Nothobranchius furzeri: one gene and its partner. The protein of the gene in region 1 purifies or fractionates together with the protein of each later gene. This does not show direct contact. Links are inferred from orthologs where the notes say so. Each region holds a gene or a part of one and is shown on either strand. Other genes may lie near its edges.

What was found. The genes of interacting proteins can lie anywhere in the genome.
Region 2: the proteins of nup160 (region 1) and seh1l fractionate together in Homo sapiens (co-fractionation; 3 studies listed by BioGRID and IntAct, with this or other methods). This does not show direct contact. The link is inferred for Nothobranchius furzeri from reciprocal best matches to the Homo sapiens genes NUP160 and SEH1L.

The regions. Positions count from the first base shown.
Region 1 is NC_091744.1:79,814,783-79,822,837, reverse strand, and holds part of nup160 (nuclear pore complex protein Nup160), read left to right. Parts: coding exon 1-112; intron 113-3,470; coding exon 3,471-3,566; intron 3,567-3,653; coding exon 3,654-3,748; intron 3,749-5,829; coding exon 5,830-5,926; intron 5,927-7,269; coding exon 7,270-7,375; intron 7,376-7,453; coding exon 7,454-7,614; intron 7,615-7,746; coding exon 7,747-7,807; intron 7,808-8,055. UniProt on the Homo sapiens protein: Functions as a component of the nuclear pore complex (NPC). Involved in poly(A)+ RNA transport.
Region 2 is NC_091745.1:49,013,819-49,019,244, reverse strand, and holds the end of seh1l (nucleoporin SEH1), read left to right. Parts: intron 1-2,087; coding exon 2,088-2,241; intron 2,242-3,347; coding exon of another isoform or gene 3,348-3,429; exon of another isoform or gene 3,430-3,658; intron 3,659-4,206; coding exon 4,207-4,393; 3' UTR 4,394-4,904; downstream 4,905-5,426. UniProt on the Homo sapiens protein: Component of the Nup107-160 subcomplex of the nuclear pore complex (NPC). The Nup107-160 subcomplex is required for the assembly of a functional NPC.

The sequences.
Region 1 (8,055 bases):
GTGTTTTCAGGAAGCGGCATCAGAGGTGGAGCGGGAGGCGTTTCTGATGAAGCTGACGAGCTGTGGGGATGAAGAGGCTGCTTCCAGCCCCAGATTACAGTACTACAACAAGGTAAGGCAGCAGTAGTGGTGTGACATCACCAATGTAAGTAAGTAAACTTTATTTATATAGCACTTAATGTTAGGTAATTTTATCTCCCATCCAGGATTACCTTAGGGAAAGTTCAACACGCAGGGGTTATAATAATCAGCTGATCAAAACCATATACCAATAATCGACCAACAAAACAATTTAGACTTTGCAAAGTGGAGAATGAAATGCACACCACACAGAGGTCCGATACTTCACTCTCATCAAAGTCCTCCAAGAGTATTTATTAAGCAGACACACGGAAAGATACAACGCACACACATTTACACACACATTTGAGGTTCTCACAGACTCAGGCGAGAAGGCACACCAGGTGCAATTTCTAAAACAGAGCTGTCTGGACTTCTCAAGGGAGTTCTACTGATAAGGGGGACCAGCCCCAGCACCAAGTCTGGTACCGAGAGCAAGGTCAGTCCTCCCAGTTAGAGCTTACAAAAGCCTGTCTGTTCCCAGAGAAATAGAAATAGATGAACCTTCGTTTAAAACCCCCAGAGATCAAACCATTGAAGACATTATTAACAGTAATATCAGTTTTTATCCAACACTTATCACAGACATAGAATCACAAAGTGCTTCACTTAGATCAAAATAAAACAGTCATAAAATCATAATGATCTCAAAACAGAAATGGATAAACATCAGAAAAAGTCATAAAATTATTAAATTTCATAAACAGATAAGATTTTACAAATTTAAGATTAAAAGAATAAAATTAAAGATTAATGTAAAAGCTGCTTTAAATGAAAGGGTTTTAATAGTGTCGAGACTGTCAATGCTACGTGAGGATAAAGGAAGATCCTTCCAAAGTCGGGGTGCAACAGTCTGGAAAGAGCGATCACCTGGACTTTATATCTGGTCTTTGGAACTTCTAGAAGGTTTTGGTGTGTGGACCTGAAAGCTCGGTTTGGAGCATAAGGCTTTAACAGTTCAGTAATATAGGGAGGAGCTTGACCATGTAGAGCATTGAAAGTTATAATCAGGATTCTAAAATGAACTCTAAAGTTAACGGGTAACCAGTGCAGAGACATTAAAATAGGAGTGATGTGTGCTCTTCGGTTTGCTCCAGTTAGGAGCCTCGCTGCAGAGTTCTGGACCAACTGAAGGCGGTCAAGGGCTTTTTTGTTAAAACATGAAGAGTGTGTTACAGAACTCTAAACGGGAGGAGATAAAGGCATCGATAACTGTTTCAAGTTCATGTTTTGACACCATCCTTGGTCAAAAACACCCAAATTCCTCAAGCTCGTCTTGACGACAGAGGATAAATGACCAAGCTTTAGACTAATCAGGGGAACCATGCTCTAAGGGGCAATGATCAGATATTCGGTCTTTTCAGAGTTTAACTGGAGGAAGTTATCTTCTAGCCCAGGGGTGTCAAAGATGCGGCCCGCGGGCCGGATCCGGCCCGCAAGCAGTTTAAATCCGGCCCGCGAGATGGTTGTGTAAACTATATTTTCATACTTTACAATGTAGAGTGAAAATAAACTTATCTTTGTGAGCAAGTTTCCTCTGTAATGAGTATAAATAAAACAAAGCTGCGCTCAAGGCTCACACAAGAACTTGAATCACATCCTGAAGTTGGCCGCCACTCAGGATGTGACTTCTGATGTTGATGTGCTGGTGAAAGCTAAAAGATGTAAAGTAAAATGAGTCAAATATACTTTAAGTGGTGCTTGAAACTGATCTAGCCATGTGATCTGTAAGCTCTTTGAATCACTAAGGAATGTTTATTTTATTTATTGATTTTTTTTAGTATTTTCAAATTTTCAAGTACACTTCAGGTGTTGTACTTGTACTATTTTGGATACACTGTCCTCAGGCTCCAGCCTTGCTTTATATTGTTTGTATTAAAACAAAGAAAACAATCTGAAGTTTTTTTTTTATTTACCGGTCCGGCCCACTTGGGACTAGATTTCCCTCAATGTGGCCCCTGAGCTAAAATGAGTTTGACACCCCTGTTCTAGCCAGCTGGTGATCGCTGATAGACACTCTAGTAATTCACAGTTTATAAAACTCAGAATCCTTAAAGGAGCAGTACAGCTGAATATCATCTGCATATAGGTGATAAAAGACATTATGAAAAGGATCATTTATTTGTCCAAGAGGGTGTATGTACAGTAGAAACAACAGTGGACCCAAAACAGAGCCTTGGGGTACCCCACAGAACAGATGGGTAGAATCTGACATGATTTGGTTTATGCAGACAATGTAACTTCTGTTAGAAAGGTACGATCAAACTCAATCTGTTGAGTCTACAATACTCTTTGTGTAGACACCCCCAGCAGATCCAGACTGTCAGAAGTCGGGGTAGACATCTACCTCAAGGTATCCGGGGCCCGTACATTAGCTCCGATACGACTCGTCTAGTCTTGAGATATATCCAGGTCAAAACAGTATGCTGGAATGCTTGCTTGCGTCCAAGGTTGATGTTTGGCTACTGAAAGAGCCGATTGGGCTGTGTCAGCTTGCAGCGTGCAAAGAGGCTTTGACTGGAGGTCAAAGGAGATGGTTTCAAAAGAGGCTTCTTTCCCAATTTGGCCAAGTCGGGAGTCAGCTGGAAACTGAATTAATCAGGAAGTAATTCTTGTTTTAATGAACTCATTGTTTATAATTTTAGGCAAATCGGGATTCGACTTGTTTGAGGATTTTACCAAACATCCCTTCTTTAGATACAAAGGTGTTTAACACTTTGTGAATGAGAATGTTTTAAAACACTTATGTGAGGTGAATATTACATTAATGAGTATCTTATTGTAATGTGTATGAGTGTAGATAATGAATAACTTGTTAAATCAAACTCATACTGATCTGGTGTAGATAAGATCTGAAATGGATCATTATAGGACCAATATTCATTTTAAATTAGTTGATTTAAGCACAGATTATTCAAACATTTGATCTAAACATCTTATTCATTCAACACATATGATTATTTAGACTTTAAAGCTGTAAAGTTATTTATAATTCCCTTTGGTACATTAAACAGTCGAACCTTGAGTAAACTGGCATTAGAGGGGCGTGAGGTGAAACAATATGGTTTATGGTGTCAAGCAGGACTTTAGAGTTATTTTGTTTACAGCAATCAGCTGAGCAAAGTAAGTGGCCCAGAGATTATTTCACTGTCTCGTTCAGAGATGTTATCCATTCTTTAAAGTGCAGCCTGTGACTTTCTAATCTAGTTAACGTCCAACTTCTCTGCGGCATGTCCTTCAGAGTCTGTTAATGTTTTGATTAATCCAAGGACTTTTCCTCTTGCTAGAAAAGGTGATCTGCTTAATGTGTGTGACTGCCCTGCTTACCTGTGTAACATCACTGTGTGCAGGTGTTGCGGCTGCTGGAGGACATGGGTCTACCTGAGTTTGTCATCCAGCTCGCCTCTCTGGCCTTATCAGAAGCAGCTGGTGATGCCCACAGTCAGGTAGGGGACGGTGGCCTGTTGTACTGTTTTGTTCCTGTTAGTGCAGATCAGTAAGTGTGTGTGTGTGTGTGTGTGTGTTTTTTTCAGGCAGCTCTGTGGACCAAGATATTCAAGCATCACCTGGATCTGGGTCACAACAGTGAAGCTTACGAAGCTCTGACCCAAAACCCAGACAGCAGCATGTACGTGCGCACGCACGCATGCACACACACACACACACACACACACACACACACACACATACACACACACGTGATTTAGCATTCGAACTGAGAAGGAAAGGGGGGTATCTTTTGTGCAGCTGAGTCTCATTACAGCTGCTCCTGCTCCTGCCAGGTTATGGTTCGTCTGACGTAGGACTGGACAAAATATAGATATTTTTTAAAATATTGATGTAATTTCAAACAAGAAACAAGTGGACTTTATATTGATATAACCAATCCAGTAGCTATGCTAGCCACTAGCTTGCTCCGTCTAAGCGGTCATTACATGTACTCACAAGTCTGCTAAATCAGAAAACTTCTGGGTCAATGTTCTGCCTCAAACGTTGCATTTGGCTTCCTGGTTTTTAATTACTTGGGAAGTCCGTTCAGGTTTCAGCGAGCCTTTTCATCGTGGCTGCCAAAGGAGCTCTGATTATACTGCTTTTGGAAAGACCAGCCAAAGCCCTCCCCCGTGTAATCATGAAACGGCTACGGAGAGCCGGAGTGACCAAATGACCTCAAACATGTTCTAACGGTTAGAATAGGCAATGTTGGGGTTAACGTTTTATTTTGAAGGTGAGTTCAGTGGGCGGGAGAGGTTGTTCTGGTTTTTGCCGCTTTGCTATGCTAGGAAATGCTCCGTTACGAGCAATTCTGTTGAAAAAGTTAAGAGTTTGTAAGGCATGTGTTGCTGCCGACAGTAGATCGAAAATAATACCCAGAAGGGCAACCAGAGAGTCTGAGTTACATTATGATCGCTGATATGAGCTGTTAGATTCCTGCCATGTTTGACACTGAGACATAAAGGGCTTCCACATTAGCATCAGCTCTACTCTGCCTGGACCAGGTACAGAGTGTTCTTGAATTTTCCCGCGTGCGACGGGTAGTTTTTTAGCCCTCTTCCCAAGTCAGTCTGCTATGGGCTGAACTAGTTGATCACACCCCCTGCTCACTGATTGGCCAGTTCAAATTCATGACTCCTATTGAAGGGACCCTCCCAAATGGTGGGTAGAATCAGCCAGTAGGGTCTTTCCGCATCCACATTTCTACATTATCAGCAGAGGGCAACACCGTCCGCTGCTGCCCGCTGATAAACGGAAACGGTATTCCACTAGGTAGGTTATTCATAGAACGGCCGTGTTCACCATTTAGGGGAAAATAAAGTTGGCAGTCATCAGCAAACAAATGCTACGGAAGATATCCCCCAGCAGAAGAATGTAAATCAGAAACAGCTGCGGTCCTAGCACAGAACCCTGGAGAACACCCCAGGGAAGATGTGAAGAGGCAGACGAGAAACCACTCATTCTGATGTCGTTTTGTTTTCAAGGGATGATCTAAACCACTCCAGGGCCAAACCTGAAACACCCATTTATTGTCCAAGACAGTCGATTAGCACATCATGATCCACTGTGTCTAAAGCAGCGGACAAAATGACTCTCACCAGTGCTGTCTCGGCACCATGCAGCACTTTGAAGCCTGATTGAAAAGTTTCCAACAGCTCATTTTCATTTAAGGAGTCAATTAATCAAATGTATACACATTTATCCAGTAATTTGCTCAAGAAAAGGAGCTTGGAAAGTAAGTCTAAATTTAACTGGATGTGAGGCACTTAACCCAGGGTTTTTCAGAAGAGAATAATTCATATTCTCCTTAAAGTCATCAGGGACAGATCCAGAAGATGAACTCAGGTTAATAGTCTGAGCTATTACTGGAGCAACGGCCAATAAAAGCAGCTGTGGCTACAATGCAGCTCATCACCACCAGTGTCCATGGATGAATGTTAAGCACCTAGGAGCGTTCTAGGACTCTCGCTTTCTGCTTTAGCTACAGAGAAATGTGTTTCAGCTTAGGACATTTTCCATCTGTGCACCAAGACCAACCGACCAGTGGGAGCTGCCTGGTCTGACTCGACAGCAACATCCTAATCTTGGTGTGGGGATGTCTCCAAGAAGACCCCGAATTCTCCAGCTGCAAACGGACAGATTCTCACACATCTGATCTGTAAATATTCAGACTGATCCTCCGGTGATGTTTCAGCTGAATGCTTGTTTGTGTTCCAGGCAGCTGGATTGTCTTCGCCAGCTGGTGGTGGTTCTGTGTGAACGCTCTCAGCTGCAGGATTTAGTCCAGTTTCCCTACGTCCACCTGCATGATGAGGTGAGCCCTGACTGAAAATCTTTTATTTCCTGCAGTTGTTCATCGTATGGCATCTTTACCTTTACCATGATATCTTTACCATTACCATAGTATATTTACCTTTACATTACATTACCATGACCATGGTATCTTTACCTTTACCATTACATTACTGTGGTATATTTACCATTACCATGGTACCTTTTCCTTTCCCATGGTATCTTTACCATTACCATAATATCTTTACCTTTACCGTGGTATCTTTACCTTACATTACCATTATCATGGTATCTTTACCATTACCATAATATCTTTACCTTTACCGTGGTATCTTTACCTTACATTACCATTATCATGGTATCTTTACCATTACCATAATATCTTTACCTTTACCGTGGTATCTTTACCTTACATTACCATTATCATGGTATCTTTACCATTACCACAGTACCTTTACCGTTACCATGGTATCTTTATGTATCGGAAACAGTCCAAACACACTTGTAACCTATGCATGTTATTGTTTGTCTGTAAATGGGTCCATGTGGAAGTTCTGACTGGTCGGTATAAAGGCTCCACCTCTGAGGCAGGTCTGGAGCTGATCACCACTGGGCCTGATGGGGAGCTGGGGCGTAGTGCTTGGGTGGATATCTTTAACCCTAACGGTTTCATTAGATCGATAGGCAGATTGATTGGTGCTGTGTCTGCAGTGATGCGGGCGTTGTACCGGCCTGTCGTGGTGAAGAGAGAGCTGAGTCAGAAGGCAAAGCTCTCGATTTACCGGTGGATCTACGTTCCTACCCTCACCTATGGTCATGAGCTTTGGGTAGTGACCGATAGAATGAGTTCGCGGATACAAGCGGCCGAAATGAGTTTTCTCCAAAGAGTGGCTGGGCTCTCCCTTAGAGATAGGGTGAGAAGCTCGGTCATTCGGGAGGGGCTCGGAGTAGACCTGCTGCTCCTCCAGATCGAGAGGAGCCAGTTGAGGTGGCTCGGGCATCTGGTTAGGATGCCTCCTGGACGCCTCCCTGGTGAGGTTTTCTGGGCACGTCCAACTGGGAGGAGACCTAAAGTAGACCCAGGACACGGTGGAGGGACTATGTCTCTCACCGGACCAGGGAACACCTTGGGATTCCCCCGGAGGAGCTGGCCCAAGTGGCTGGGGAGAGGGAAGTCTGGGCCTCTCGCCTTAGGCTGCTGCCCCCGCGACCCGACTCCGGATAATCGGATGAAAATGGATGGCTGGATGGGTTTCATTCATCCACAGTCTGGCAAAGCCTGAACAGATTTTCTTCTCTGCAGTTGTTTTGTTGCATGTGTTTATTTCTAAAAATGTAATATTTACCTTCTCACGGGACCTTCAGGTAGTCAGCATCATCGAGTCCCGTGCTCGTAGTTTGGATCTGCTGACCCACAATTACTACGAGCTTCTGTACGCCTTCCACATTACCCGACACAACTACAGGAAAGGTGCCAAAGCAAACATGCAAATTCCACCTAATTATACGTGTGTGCGACTGCATAGTGTGTGTATCCGTGTTCACTCAGCGGGGACCGTCATGTTTGAGTTTGGGATGCGTCTGGGCCGGGAGATTCGTACGCAGCTTGGCCTTCAGAAACAGGTGAACTGTTACCTGGCTGCTCTTAACTGTCTCCGCCTCATCAGGAGTGAGTACGCCTGGATTGTTCAGCCAGCATCAGGGAGCACGGTATGCTACACACACGCACACACACACACACACACACACACACACACACACACACACACACACACACACACACACACACACACACACACACACACACAGCTGTGTTGATAACGATGTGTTGATCTGCTGCAGTATGAGCGACCTGGAGCGTCTCCAAAGAGGAATTCTGATGGAGAGTTTTCTGCTCCACCAGGTGAGATGCTGCTGGTGTGAGGTAAAGGCGCGACATGGGCAGCCCCAATCTCTCTCCCTGTCGTCTCTCTGATATCATCCTGCCTCACCTTTCAGTAAATGATTACAGCTGGTGTAATTACTTAACTACACCAGCTCAGTGGCCTAATGGTGGAGTGTCCACCCTGAGTCTGGGAGATCAGGGTTCTAATCCCGATCAGGTCATACCAAAGACTTTAAAAATGGGACCCAATGCCTCCCTGCTCAGCA
Region 2 (5,426 bases), on another chromosome or scaffold:
AGGATTTGGAGTTAATCCCGGATATTCTGCGTACCAGTCAGGTCCTGCTTTTACCACCTCAGGCCAATTTCTAAGCTAAAGCCCATCCTGAGTGTCCGTCTGCTTCTCGCATTCAAATCTTTGAACAGTCAGGCTCCTCCCTATCTGTGTGAACTCCTCCATTACTACCACCCTCCTCGTGCTCTTAGGTCTGAAGATCAGCTCCTCCAAACTGTCCCTAAGGCACGTTTGAAGACCCGCGGGGAAAGGACTTTTTCTGTCTGCCCCAAACTTGTGGAACTCATTACCTCTTCGGGTTAGGCAAGCACCCTCTATTGGCGTTTTTAAATCACGCCTGAAAACCCACCACTTCCCCCTGGCCTTCAACTCCCAAACCATGAAGCATGAACTCATCCTTAGATTTTCCACCTTGTTTGTTTGATTTTAAATTTGTGTTTTTATATTCTGGCTTTACTTGTTCTGTTGGTTTTAACTCTTATCTTTTTTTACTTCATATGATATACACGACTATTTTAGCTTGTGTTTTTTACAGGGTATCCGCGGGTCCTTAAAAAGTCTTAAAAAGCCTTAAATTAGCTTTTCCAAATTTAAGGCCTTAAAAATCCTTAAAAATGACAAATAATCCTTAAATACAGTTTCCAGAGGTCTTAAAAGACCCAATAAACAAAATTCTTTTATTTCTATAAACTTTTCGTGAATTTCTAGTTGGTGTTTAGCGTTTTTTGTGTACGTTGTTGGCGTAAGCGGAACCGTACACATTCAGTTGGTTGTGAAAGGGGGCTATTTTTAGATGAGCACATTAGCTGGTTAAGCTAGTGGGAGCTTGCGCCATGGGGAAGTTTAATGGTAACTGGATGGCTAATCCCACGATCATGGCGTGGTTAGCACCGGTTCCAGGCAACAGCTGGAAATTATAGCTTAAATGATAAATGACCCGCACTTGTATAGCGCCTCTCAGAGTAAGGACTCCAAAGCGCTTTACACTACAGTGTATCATTCATCCATTCACACACACATCCACACACTGGTGGGGATGAGCCATGATGTTGCCACAGCTGGCCTGGGGCGCACTTACAGAGGCGAGGCTGCCGAGAACAGGCGCCACCGGTCCCTCCGACCACCACCAGCAGGCAAGGTGGGTTAAGTGTCTTGCCCAAGGACTCAACAGCAGAATTCTCTGTCCGGAGCCGGGATCGAACCTGCAACCTTCCGATTACTGGACAACCCGCTCAACCTGTTGAGCTACTGCTGCCCTGCTTAAATATCTTAAATTTGGTCAAAGTGGCCTCAAAAAAGGTCTTAAAAAGTCTTAAATTTGGCTCTCTTAAACCTGCAGATACCCTGTTTTATTCATTTGTTTTTATGTGCAGCGCTTTGGTCGGTTGTAATGCTGCGTTAAAAGCGCTCTACAAATAAAGTGGTATGGTACCGAGAGGTAGCTTCTGCAGCCCATGGGAAGGGGGACCCACGTTTCCTCTTCAGGCTGTGCCCAGCTGGGTTTCCTGGGTGACAGCCCAGCCGCCAGGGGCTCTTTAACCTGCCCCACTTGCAGACCTGGCTCCAGAGGGGCCCCTGGTGACCCGCGTCTGGGTGAGGGAACACTGTGACTCCCTCGTTCCGCTGGCCTGATGATAGACTTTGTTGTTGTTTCATCTGCCGCATGTCTTGGACACTCGGGTGAAGAGAGGGGTGGAGCTGTCAACTGACCCCTGCATGGTGGTGAGTTGGCTTCGATGGTGGGGGGAGGATGCCGGTCAGACCTGGCAAGCTTAAACGTATTGTGAGGGTCTGCTGGGAACGTCTGGCAGAGTCTGGTTAAAGGTTAAACCTGCAATAAAAGCCCACTAGAGGGCAGTATATAGTTGTCCTCTGAAAGTGATCAGGGAAAGTACTCGGCAGTCGGCCTGAATCTGTGGTCTCCGGGTCTGCAGCGATACCCTTCTCAAAGTGTGCTGAAACCAGAATCCCTTGCAGCTGTTGGTGTTTCAGTCCTGGACAACAAGGCTCCGAGTCGAGGCCTTGCCTCATTGCTTTTCCTCCATTCTGAAGATGAACAAACACTGATGTCACTTCCTGTCTTTGAGCAGCTAACTACATGGACAACTGGAAGTGCACCGGCATCCTGAAGGGGGACGGCAGCCCGTTGACAGGTTCGTCTGGTCAACCCAGCGCCATGAGCACCGTGGTGGGCTCCTCCATCCAGACCTCCCAGAATGCCCTGAACGGGATGTCAGCAGGAAGGTAGGTGGTGTCGTGTGCCTGACGCCACTCACCCCGTCCCAGATGAAACCGTCACAACTGACAACTTCCCTGCCCCTCACACTGACTGGGAGTGCAGCCGCCCACTGACAAAGCTGTTGGACTCACACTGACCCGGTGCAAAGAGCTTGGCTTCTGTCCTCCAGCTGCAGGTTGTGTGTGTGGAGCGGGAGGTGTTTTTCTGCTTATGCATGTCAAAAGAGATGTCTCCACTTACCTAATGTAAGGACTGACCTTGTGTCTGATTTTGGATATGAATGTTGATATGTAGTTATTTTAGGAGATTCAGCAGAGCCGTTGTATTGTTAGGGAGCCTCGCTGGGACGGGCGGTTTCATCTCCACGTCCCGGTGCACCAGCAGCAAAGTGATTCAAAACTCATGTTTCAGAGTCGGAGAAACGCCAAACTCTTTGCTGAGCAGATCGAAACCATTAACCAACCCTGATCCATGAATGTGAGGATGAATACAGCCGTCAGAGTCAGAACTGTCTGTCTTAAACAAAGCTCCTGTTTTAGGAAGTACTGTATGCATTTATGGATTTTCTATAATCTAAATGTAACCATAAAGGGAAAATAACATGGCCATCTGATTGGTTAAGAAGTTTGTGGTTTCAGGTTTGGTCGGCGTTGATGTGAGGCTGTATTCATCTTCTGTTGTATTCATCAGCCTTAGATTCTGTGGGATATTTCAGTCACTGTGAATGAATTTTGAGTGTAATTGTGAGAAAACTTCCAGCTGCTGTAGATTACTTCCTGAATGCCCTCTGTTTGGAGAAATAAGACCAGCTGCCTGTTTAGACAGGTTTGACTTTTTCGTTAAAGCCATCTACAGCGTGGTAATCATTTCTAACTTTTACACTAAAACACATTTAAAATGGCTGAATTATCTCTTGAACATATAATCAAGCTGTTATGTTGTTCCTGTTCCTAATCTGAGTAACAAATGTGTGTAGTATATAACAACTCCTACGACCAGCTGTTTGCATAACTTTGACCACGTCTACCATTCCAGATACACGTTGATTAAAAACAAATGTGAAGTGAGTTTGTTGAAGTTAATTTACTATTTTATTGCTTGTTGCATGCAGGATTGCCAAAAGAGCTTCCTTTGCTCCTCCCCTGCGGCAGCTGACCTCTCCAAAGATAAACCAGAGTCCTGCATATTACTAATGTCTCGTGCACGCCACCGCCTGCTCCCCGTGGCTGTTTGAGACTAGTCCCACCGAAGCACATTTCATAGCTGATAACTTGTTGAAGTTTGGATTTTTGGCATGAAACCTTGGTGCGTGTACCTCACAACCTCATGTCGCAGAGGTTTACTGCTGTGGGGCAATGAAGAAGAAAAGATTTTTTCTACAGCGCCTCTCAAGATAAAAATCACAAGGCGCTTCACAAAAAAAACATGTAAAATATAAAAAAGAATTTAGAAAATGATTAAAAATATATTTAAAATGAGCAAAAAAATTGACAATTGTGATTAAAAATGTAAAGAAAGAGAGAGTGAATAGGAAAGGGGGAAATCAGTGGATCCTGAGGAAGGTGGAATAGGTGGGGAGAGCAGAATAAGGAGAGGGTGATGAAGGTCACACCAAAGCCTGAACAGCTGCTTTTTAAAGGAGACCACTGAGTCCACTGATCTCAGGCTCAGGGGGAGAGAGTTCCAGAGTCTAGGGGACACAGCAGCAAATGATCTGTCACCTTTGGTCTTTACCAAAGACCAAAGTGAGTGTGTGTGTGTGGTCACACTCACTCAACCCAACATTGCCTGCCTGACATTTTTTCTGAAGCATGCATGGATATTTTTCCTGTTAAATTTTCATTTCTACTTCCTTTTTATGTTTCCTTGTTTGTATTTTTGGTGTCTTCCCACCCCAAACCTTCCTCCTTTTCTATGTATCCATTGTGTTTGTCTGCTCCCCTTTTTATTTTCCTCTGATGTTACTTTAGGTATTTCTTTCCTCCTCTGGATCCTCCCAGAGCAGGGACCAGGTGTGGTCACCTGCTGCCTCCTCCCTCCCTCATAGAGCACTGCGATGCTGAGCCCGTCACTCAGCCTCAGCAACATGCTCTTCTCCCCAGACACAACTCTAGAGTGCTGCTGTCCTTACCAGAGGCTGAGGAGCAGTCGTTTTAGCTGTGTGTTCCCCTGCGTGTGTATTTAAAGTACAATTCAATAATTCAAAACTGTTTGTCCATAAATCGAAAACAAATCGGAGAACTGAATCACGCTGGACGTCATCTGACTGACTAGCAAGGCACATCATTATCCTGTTTTAAGGTTAGCAGAAATTGTGTCTACTTGCAAATAGGAAATGTATTAAAAGTGGTAGAAATTATACCAAGTGATACAGTAGAAGCATGTGGAGCAGCCCTGTGAGAATAGCACCTGATTCATCATCACACAGAATCAGGCATGTCTGAAGCCCGTTCTGGACAGAGCTGCTGTGTTCTGCGTGTCCGTTGGCTGGGGTGTGATCCACAGCCTTGTCATGAACAGCTGCTCTGCTGAATTATACTGGAGCAAGTCAACAAGTCCTAGCTTATAGCTGTTATGTAAATGCCTCATTCTGATGGAGTGTGATTAAATGATTTGGCTATTTGATTTGACACATTCTCTAAAATAAAACTTGAAATGTAAATGTGAATGAAGCTGGTTCTTTCTCCACACCGCTGTCTAACCAAGAAACTGTTGTAGCTGCAGATTATGGGTTTGCCAGTTACAGCTTTTTTCTTTACAGAGTTGCTTGTCATATTGGGGGTTTTCCAATATGAACAGCCTGTGGAAGGTCAAAGGTCAGACAGTCTCTTTCAGGAATGAATTTACAGCAAATGGGCCAGGCCCTGAAGCAGCCTGGCCCATCACTCTGCCGCTCCCGTGTCTTGACTGTGGTTGGCAGAAGACACTTTTTCTGAATAGCAGTATTGGTTTGATGCCAGCTGTAACAGGTGATCAGCTTTCAGGCGTTTTCCAGAGCATTGTGTCTGGCATCTTGGACATCCATTTTTGGCAAATGTATACATGTTCAAGTAAAAAAAAAAAGCTGCACAACCTTTTTTGTATTAAATATTTTTTAAACTTGCATTTTGATAATTAAAATGTTGTGTATGGAATCTAAAACTGAGATTATCATCACTACAAACCCAGGTTGGGATTTTTATCCAAACTT